Linked DNA regions of Macaca fascicularis. The protein of the gene in region 1 purifies or fractionates together with the protein of each later gene. This does not show direct contact. Links are inferred from orthologs where the notes say so. Each region holds a gene or a part of one and is shown in the gene's direction. Other genes may lie near its edges.

What was found.
Region 2: the proteins of PUS10 (region 1) and ABITRAM purify together in Homo sapiens (affinity purification with mass spectrometry; 3 studies listed by BioGRID and IntAct, counting the BioPlex papers as one, with this or other methods). This does not show direct contact. The link is inferred for Macaca fascicularis from reciprocal best matches to the Homo sapiens genes PUS10 and ABITRAM.

The regions. Positions count from the first base shown.
Region 1 is NC_088387.1:61,021,439-61,025,255, forward strand, and holds part of PUS10 (tRNA pseudouridine synthase Pus10), read left to right. Parts: intron 1-2,636; coding exon 2,637-2,779; intron 2,780-3,817. UniProt on the Homo sapiens protein: Protein with different functions depending on its subcellular location: involved in miRNA processing in the nucleus and acts as a tRNA pseudouridylate synthase in the cytoplasm.
Region 2 is NC_088389.1:49,190,786-49,195,348, reverse strand, and holds the start of ABITRAM (protein Abitram), read left to right. Parts: upstream 1-1,505; 5' UTR 1,506-1,575; coding exon 1,576-1,654; intron 1,655-2,712; coding exon 2,713-2,764; intron 2,765-3,383; coding exon 3,384-3,513; intron 3,514-4,563. UniProt on the Homo sapiens protein: Actin-binding protein that regulates actin polymerization, filopodia dynamics and increases the branching of proximal dendrites of developing neurons.

The DNA.
Region 1 (3,817 bases):
CCTTCACATGGGTTGTACAAGTTATTGAGAATGCCGTGGGAATAATAAACTCATTTAAAAAATAGGTTCATAGTTTGGGGTAGCCATAGAGATAATTCAGAAATAACACTGAGGTCAGGTGCAGTGGCTCATGCCTGTAATCCCAACACTTTGGGAAGCCAAGGCAGGAGGATTGCTTGAGCCCACGAGATCGAGGCCACAGTGAGCCATCATTGTGCCATTGCACTCCAGCCTGGGCTGAAAGATGATTTTCATAGTACAGACTAAGTGGTGAAAGGGTCTCTTTTAATGGTCCATAGCCTAAGTAGACTGATGCAACTAGTTGATTTCAAATAATGTTTTTAGTTTTCAAATATTCCAGTTAGCATAAAAATTATAAAAACCGACTTACTTCCCCATACTGAGAAAAAGTCATTTCACATTTACTACTTATCCCCTCTTCAGGAGCAACCTATTTCTAAAAAAAAAAAAAAAAAACAAGCATATGTGTGTGTTTGTGTGTTTCTGAAAACTCAGCAGTACAGGAGCAGCAGAGTGCAATATTAGAATAAATGAAGTAGTTTCCTTTTATCAACTAAAATCAAACAAACCAAAAAAGACATGTGACTCGTGGTATTTCCATTGACCGACTGTCTCATGGTCAAAGTACTAGGAATAACTCTAAAGGTAAAGGAAGCAGGGGAGAGGACTCCATAGATAGTCATTAATTTAAAGGCTGCTGTTTCTCTAAAGTGGAAGCCATGTCTTTATAGATTCCTTCACAGTTCAGCCTTGTCCTTTATTTATGTTTTTTTGGTTTTGTTTTGTTTTTTGTTTTTTTGTCTCTTTGACCAGAGAAAAATCAGGTCTTATGGAGACAGCTTATCTCATCAGGACAAAGTATTTCTGTAATAAAATCAAAGACTCATAAAAACCACAGAGTTAGGAGGAGCCATTGACTCACCACTCTGGTAAAAGCAGCCACACCCTTTCAAATGTGGTCTTTGTTAGAACTTGCTCTTTTTTTCTTGGTGGAGAACTTGATAGAGGAGAGACCAAACAGAAACTTTTCTTCCGTTAGCAGGCCTTCCGGCACTCAAGAACCATGGAAATTAGGAAGAGTTGTTCCGACAAGAAAATGCAGAGGATTCAGTTCTTATGAATCTGAATTTCTGATTACGCCCAATTTTTAAAACTTGGAATTAGTTGACCTTTTACAGTGTTAACCTCTATTTCTTAATTTTTATCTTGTGACAGAAAATCTCTAACTTGAACGAATTGTGAGAAAAACAAGCCTGTGTCCCTAAAAAATCTGAAATGTAAAAAGACATGCAGTATTATTAGTTGCAAGCTGGGCTAACAAACATTGAAAGGTCCTGGTTTATTATGCACATTGATTTGTAATTATTATATTGAAATATCACCCTAAACAAGATGTATTAATATTAATATATTTTCCAGATGTATCCTTTTGTATAACCCTTTTCCTTCACCAAAAAAAAAAAAAAAAACGAAAAAAAACAAATCCAAACAACCCACCCCTGACAGTAGGTACGTGGGTCTCCCTAAAACATGCAAACTCAGCAGGGCATGGTGGCACGCACCTATAATCCCAGCACTTTGGGAGGCTGAGGAGGGCAGATCACCTGAGGTCAGGAGTTGGAGATTAGCCTGGCCAATATGGTGAAACCACGTCTCTACCAAAAAAATACAAAAATTAGCTGAGCGTGGTGGCGTGTGCCTGTGATTCCGGCTACTCTGGAGGCTGAGGCAGGAGAATCGCTTGAACCCAGGAATTGGAGGTTGCAAGTGAGCAGAGATGGCGCCCCTGCACTCAAGCCTGGGCAACAGAGCGAGACCTTGTTTCAAACAAACGCAAACTGCCATACACCCAAGCGATGCTGATGTCCCACCTTCTGCAACCAGCCATTTCTCACGCAGCCTGAAATCCCCACTCTTAGGTCACTCTGTTGGGTTAGAAAACAAAGGTAAAGGGGCCGGGTGCGGTGGCTCACGCCTATAATCCCAGCACTTTGGGAGGCCGAGGCGGGCGAATCACAAGGTCAGGAGAAGTGAGACCAGCCTGGCTAACACGGTGAAACCCCGTCTCTACACGAATTAGCCTGGCGCGATGGCAGGCTCCTGTAGTCCCAGCTACTCGGAAGGCTGAGGCAGGAGAATCACTTGAACACGGGCGGCAGAGGTTGCGGTGAGCCGAGACTGCGCCACTGAGCTCCAGCCTGGGCGACAGAGCGAGAAAAAAGAAAAAAAAAAAAAAAAGTAAACAAAGGTAAAGGCCTTGTCTTTAGGGCAACCCGATAGACCTTAAGGGCAGGCCAGAACTCCAGGGCCTTCACCAATTTATTAAATATGAGAGTAAAAGAGACCTATTTACTTCAAAGCTCTCTTTAAATGGCGAGGTTACTGGGGCCCAGAAAATGAGTAATGATAGACTGGGTTCTGAGAAGTCCCACAGAGTTTGAACCTAACGGGACTCAATTCATTTTACCATTAATTAGTGTCCACCCCGTGATACAGATGGAGTTCTCTAAAGGAAACATCTGTGGTGAGCTATGGATGGTGAAGGAAGGGCTAAGATAGGCTTCACTGGGTGGCAAAGCTGTGACTCCGGGACTGTGTGTCACATTCTCCCCTAGGACTTAAAGATCGACCAGAAAACACCTTTGCGCGTCCTTCACCGAAGGCCCCTGGCTGTGCGAGCTCGCGTCATTCACTCCATGGAGACGCAGTACGTGGATGAGCACCACTTCCGCCTCCGCTTGAAAACTCAGGCCGGCACGTATCCTTCCACCTACTGCACTGCCGCCATGAGCCAGAACCCTGTTGGAAAAGTTCATGCTGCCCTGGAAAATAGGGTCAGCTTGGTCTGGGAGGGATTCGGGAAAGGATTGTACTGCAGAAGAATATTTTTGTTTGTTTGTTCGATGTGTTTTTTTCCCACGAAATTTGTTTTTCAAAATGATTCTAAACACTGAGGTAGCAGTGAGTTCAATGTCAGCTTTAAAGTTATGTTTCCTGTAATTGCCGTGTCTTACACAGTGCTGAGCGCATAGTATCCAGAAAATACTTTTGATGGATTCATTTGCTGTCTTGACATTATTTGCAAGTCACGTATTTATGACCATATTTGGGTCTTTTCAACATTTCAGGTATTTGCCTTGGATGATTAAACACAGGTAGTAGATGGGAATAGCACTACTTTACATCATGATCTTTTACTTGGCCACTGGCCTAGTACAACAGAGAATATCTTTGTCTACGTACCTTGTGAAAAAAACAAAACTAAAACGACTCAGATGACATATCATTATCACCATTTTCAGACTGCAAAGAGTTTTGACTGTATTACAGAAAGGTTGAGATTCAGAGTTAAAATATCCATAGTCCAAGGCTGATAATTTGTTCATAATCTAACCTGACTTGTATGATTTTTGTATCAGAACTGAGTCGCTGATTAAAATATATCAGGGAGCTCTAACAGGCTTAGCTTTAGTTTACTTTTTGAAGGTCTTCCTAGTTTTTGTTTGCTTCTTGGTTTTATATTATTATGTGATCCAATAGCATGAAGTGACAAAATGCCTTCTAACTGGTATAGAACTAATGATGTACTACTGTATGTGTGTGTATATATGTAACACGTATACACACACACACTATATATATATAGAAAAAAAGCAAGTTTTAATTACCAAATACCATTCTTACTATATTGCTGTAACTAGTCTGCCTGCCCTTCCCCACCAACCTGCATTCACTTCTTCCCCTGCACTACCCTAGGACCTGGATTTACTCAGCTAAGCCAAGTATAGGTTATCTA
Region 2 (4,563 bases), on another chromosome or scaffold:
TTCAAACTTTTCTCAGTCCTTGAATGTACTAAAGATTCCTCCACACCAAAGGTCAATAGTGAATTCTCTCTTAAATTTTCTGACAACTCCTTCATTTTCTTCCCTTGTCCCTTCAACTATCCACCTCTTGGCTAGACATCGTATGCATGATTACATGTACCAGGTAGATCACGAATACGCTGATTAGGCCTAAATGCCTAGCCCCGACTGAATTAGCCCAAACTGACCACTAAACCCACATTTTTAACCTCCTGATAATATCACAAGCAAGTCTCACATGCACATCAAATGCGACCTGGAAAGCAAAGAACTTGCTATTCTTCCCCCAAATGACAGTTCCCACTATTTCGGGACAGGCCATTTCTACGCCATGTCCCCGAGCTGGAAAACTGTCTTTGCTGCCTTTCTGCTTACTCTTCATATTGATCTATTCATTGGTTAGCGCCGTGGCTGTGGCTGTCAATATGCTGTTGAATTCTTTACGATCCGGTTTGTGGCCTACATCCAACACCGACTGGGCACTTGCTAAGTGCTGGGATCTGAAGATTACTCAGGCAGCCACTGTCTCCACGGAGATCATCGTTAACGGGAAAGAAAGCCACGTTAAAACACCACGTTAGATGGAGAAGCACAGAGGACACCACCTCCACGAAAAAGTCTCAGACGCCAGAAAGGACCCGCACGACAGCACCCGAGCCTCTATTAACCGCCGCCTTCCATCGTGAATTAATGCTCTAGCTTTCAGCGTTATTATCAACCCCCTGCAAGCAATCAAGAGGCTGGGTTAAGTCTGGCTAGAGGTGCTGCAGGTATCCCTGGGCTGTCGCGCCTCCCAGCGCCCCCGATGGAGCAGGTGGCAAAACTGCAAAAAGAATTTAAGGCTCTAGGAAAGAGGTGGTGCAGCCCGCGCTCCAGTCCCCGGCCCGCAGCAGGCAGAGGAGCCTCCGGTCTCTTTCACCCGGACACTGCCGGCAGAGGGGTCCACTCCCGTGCCCCTGCCCCGGATGGATCGCTTACCTGAGGACCCCCAAACAGAGGTGCATCCGGCCTCGCCTCCCCAGCCACGCGCAGCCGGCTACCCAGAGTCCGCCCCGAACTGCGCACGCGTCTCGGTCTTAGGCTCCCGCTCTCTCACCGAGCGCACTAGGCCTCCAGGGGTGCGCTGAAGCACTGCAGAGGCCAGCTGCGCAATGGTCGCGTCAACTAGGATGGCCCGGCCCGCGGAGGGCGGCGCGGGGTGACGTCATCCAGCGGCGGAGGCGTGGCCGGGTCCGCTTTCTTGGTCACTTACCGGGACCGGCCTTCTTTGTAGCCCTGGCACCGTAGAGGTAGAGGAACTACATTGGCCGCATCCCCTGTCCCTCTGCCCTCCTGCCCATCTGCCCACACTTTTGTATTTGATCTCTTTTGATGTGGAACCCCAAAGCACAGTAATGGGGGGCGGAACCTGCGGAGCTGGCAGAAGCGCGCGTGCGCACGACACGCGCTGCGCGCCGGAAGAGCACGCCCAGCCCGGGCTGCGCGGAGGAAGCGCTGGGGTCCGGGAGGGAGGGGGTGGCGGCGCCGGAGGTCGCCATGGCTACCGAGCCCGAAGCAGCGGAGCCGGTGGTGCCTTCGCTCGTGGATCGATACTTCACTCGCTGGTACAAACCGGGTAAGTGCAGAGTGATGTTGATCCCTCCTTGGCCGCATTGGCCTAATGCTGTGGAGACTACGTTGACAGATCGTAAGCCACGCGCTCTCTCCCTGGCGCTCCCTCCCCACGTCAGAAGGAGCTGGACTTCTGTGTTCCGTCTAGGCCCAGGTAGTGGCATTTGCAAAGACCTGGTGGCCTGAAATACTTCAGGGCGCATTCTGGGACCGGCGATTGCAGTGCGAGCTCTAGGGTGTAGCTCACGGAGGCCCCGGAGGTAGGCGCAGGGCTAGGTTGCCACAGTCCTGAAGTGCCTGGAGGGATTGAGGGGCTCACTGTCACAGCGATTAGCAATACATAAAATTATGTAAATGATCAGATCGAAACCAAGGTAGAGGCAGTAGGGCTGGCGAGAAGAGGGTGGGCTACAGACATTTAGAAAGCAGAATTACACATTTACTTAAGGAGACGCCACCGGTATTGTTCATCTGCCACTTAGAAGTAGGTATTCTTTTTGTACTGTTTTGTGTAAGCAGTACCAGTGGCGGGAGCATCGTTTGGGACTCTCCTTTCTTCCTTTCATTCAGTGATAATGGTTATACTCAGTTAAAAAAATATATATTGTAGCATATTTTCTGTTGGTCAAACATAGGGTGACCAACCTGTCCTAGTTGACCCATGACTGAGGGGTTTCCCAGAATGTCGGACTTGCACCAGCATCAGAACAGTCCTGGAAACCACCAACAAAAAATATATATCATAAAGAATGGGATGCTAATTGCATTTTCCTAGCAAAAATACTGTGTGTACTCATTTTGAAGTGAGTGTAAAGGAAGATGGAGCAAGGAGTTAATTACCTTAATGTTGAATAAATTATTCTGTCTGGGCCAGATCTCTTTAAATACTTTCCAGGAAGCCTTTGGGTATGTCTTTTTGAGCAATGTAGGGATAGAAGTGACCAGCATGCAGCATGTATGTGTCCAATCTTCATTATTAACTATCTCTATGACCCAAAAAAGGACCACATAGTGGTAGTAAGTATTGATTTCAGCCACCAACAGACTCATTTATTCTTCTAGATGTCAAAGGAAAATTTTGTGAGGACCACTGTATACTACAGCACTCTAACCGGTAAGCAAATTGGGAATTTTAAATTATCAAAACCTTTTTTTTTTCTGGTATTGTAGCCTGGTATGGTCTTGTGGTCTTGGATTGAACAAATGCTCACTAAACAAACATGCATTAATTATCTTCTACTGTGTTGAAATGGTATTATTATAGGAGTTTGTTTGGCAAGAATGAGTATTCCAGTGCCTGGCCACTCTAAACAAATAAATTTGATTATTCAAACACCCAAATGGAGGACCACATCATCAGCTACTACCTGAAGTGGCCAGTCTGTTCCCAACTACTGAACTGTTAAGAGCCCACAGAAAGGGCTACGGTAGAGACATACATGGTATCTTGTATACACAGGCATGCCTTATTTTTTTGTCTTCTACCCCAGTGCAACCTACCTAAAGATCTCTGGTACTCTTCCCTTTCCTGGGAAAGAAATTCAATCTTGTTTTCTCTTTTATTATTGTATTCTCCTTTCTACAGTTATGCCCCAATAGTAGCCAAAGAAAAAAGGGGGAAGATGATAGTTTGACTAAACAAATACCAGTTCATACATTCTTGTTCCAATAAGAATTATGGGAGGAAAAATTATTCCAAGCAATCACATAGGATCAATTTTTTCTCCTTGTAGAATATGTGTCATCACATTGGCAGAATCTCATCCAGTTCTTCAAAGTGGAAAAACAATTAAAAGCATTTCCTATCAGATCAGTACCAACTGTAGCAGACTTCAGAACAAGGTCTCTGGGAAATTTAAGCGGGTATGTTCCTGTAATTCTGTGATTATCTACTTACATCCTCTATATTCATGGTAATGATAGATCCAATGAACCTTAGAATCCAATAGCATATACTTAGCATACTTCTCTAGCAGTTTGAGGTGCTGATTTTAAGTGTACTTTCACCTAAAGAAATTCTTAGACTCCCAAAAATTAGGTATCTCAGGAGGTGTAGTATCTGTTTTATTAGGTTCTGTGCTACTATCTCTATAATGCCCAGGATGGGGGAGGGGGAAGGCAGGCCTTTGAAAGGAGAACTCTAATAGCAATATAACAAGATATTTTGTCCCTTCTAGTTGTATTAAACTAGTATCTCGAGTTCTGTAAAATTTAGGTGATCAACTCTTCTTTACCATGTATTTCCACATGTAAATTAAACAGAAAAAAAATTCCCAGGGGAGTAAGAAAAAAAAAAAAAAAACATGGGCCAGTCAGAATGGCTCACGCCTGTAATCCCAGCACTTTGGGAGACCGAGGTGGGTGGATCACGAGGTCAGGAGTTCAAGACCAGCCTGGCCAATGTGGTGAAACCCCATCTCTATAAAAATACAAAAATTAGCCAGGCGTCGTAGTGGGCACCTGTAATCCCAGCCACTCGGGAGGCTGAGGCAGGATAAGGGCTTGAACCTGGGAGGCAGAGGTTTCAGTGAGCTGAGATCGCACCACTGCACTCCAGCCTGAGCGGCAGAGCAAGACTCTGTCTCAAAAAAAAAAAACAAAAAAAAACATGAATATGAGAAAATATATGGTATTTGCTCCTTACGTTTTTCCATTCCTAAAGCATTGTCAATGTAATACACATCTACCCACCCCCTGTACCTGCACACAACACTTGGTTATACAGAATGCTAGCTCTACCCTCTGTAACTCTAGGCAAAATGGATAGATGATTAAAAGAGTATCATACCAAGGAGAATTTAGTGACGTATTAAAATGTCTTTACAAACCCACTTGTTGGGAAAGTTTCTGTGGATGATTTACGTCCTTCATTTACTGAGTTCATACTAAGAGTTTCTGCTAATTGCTCTCACT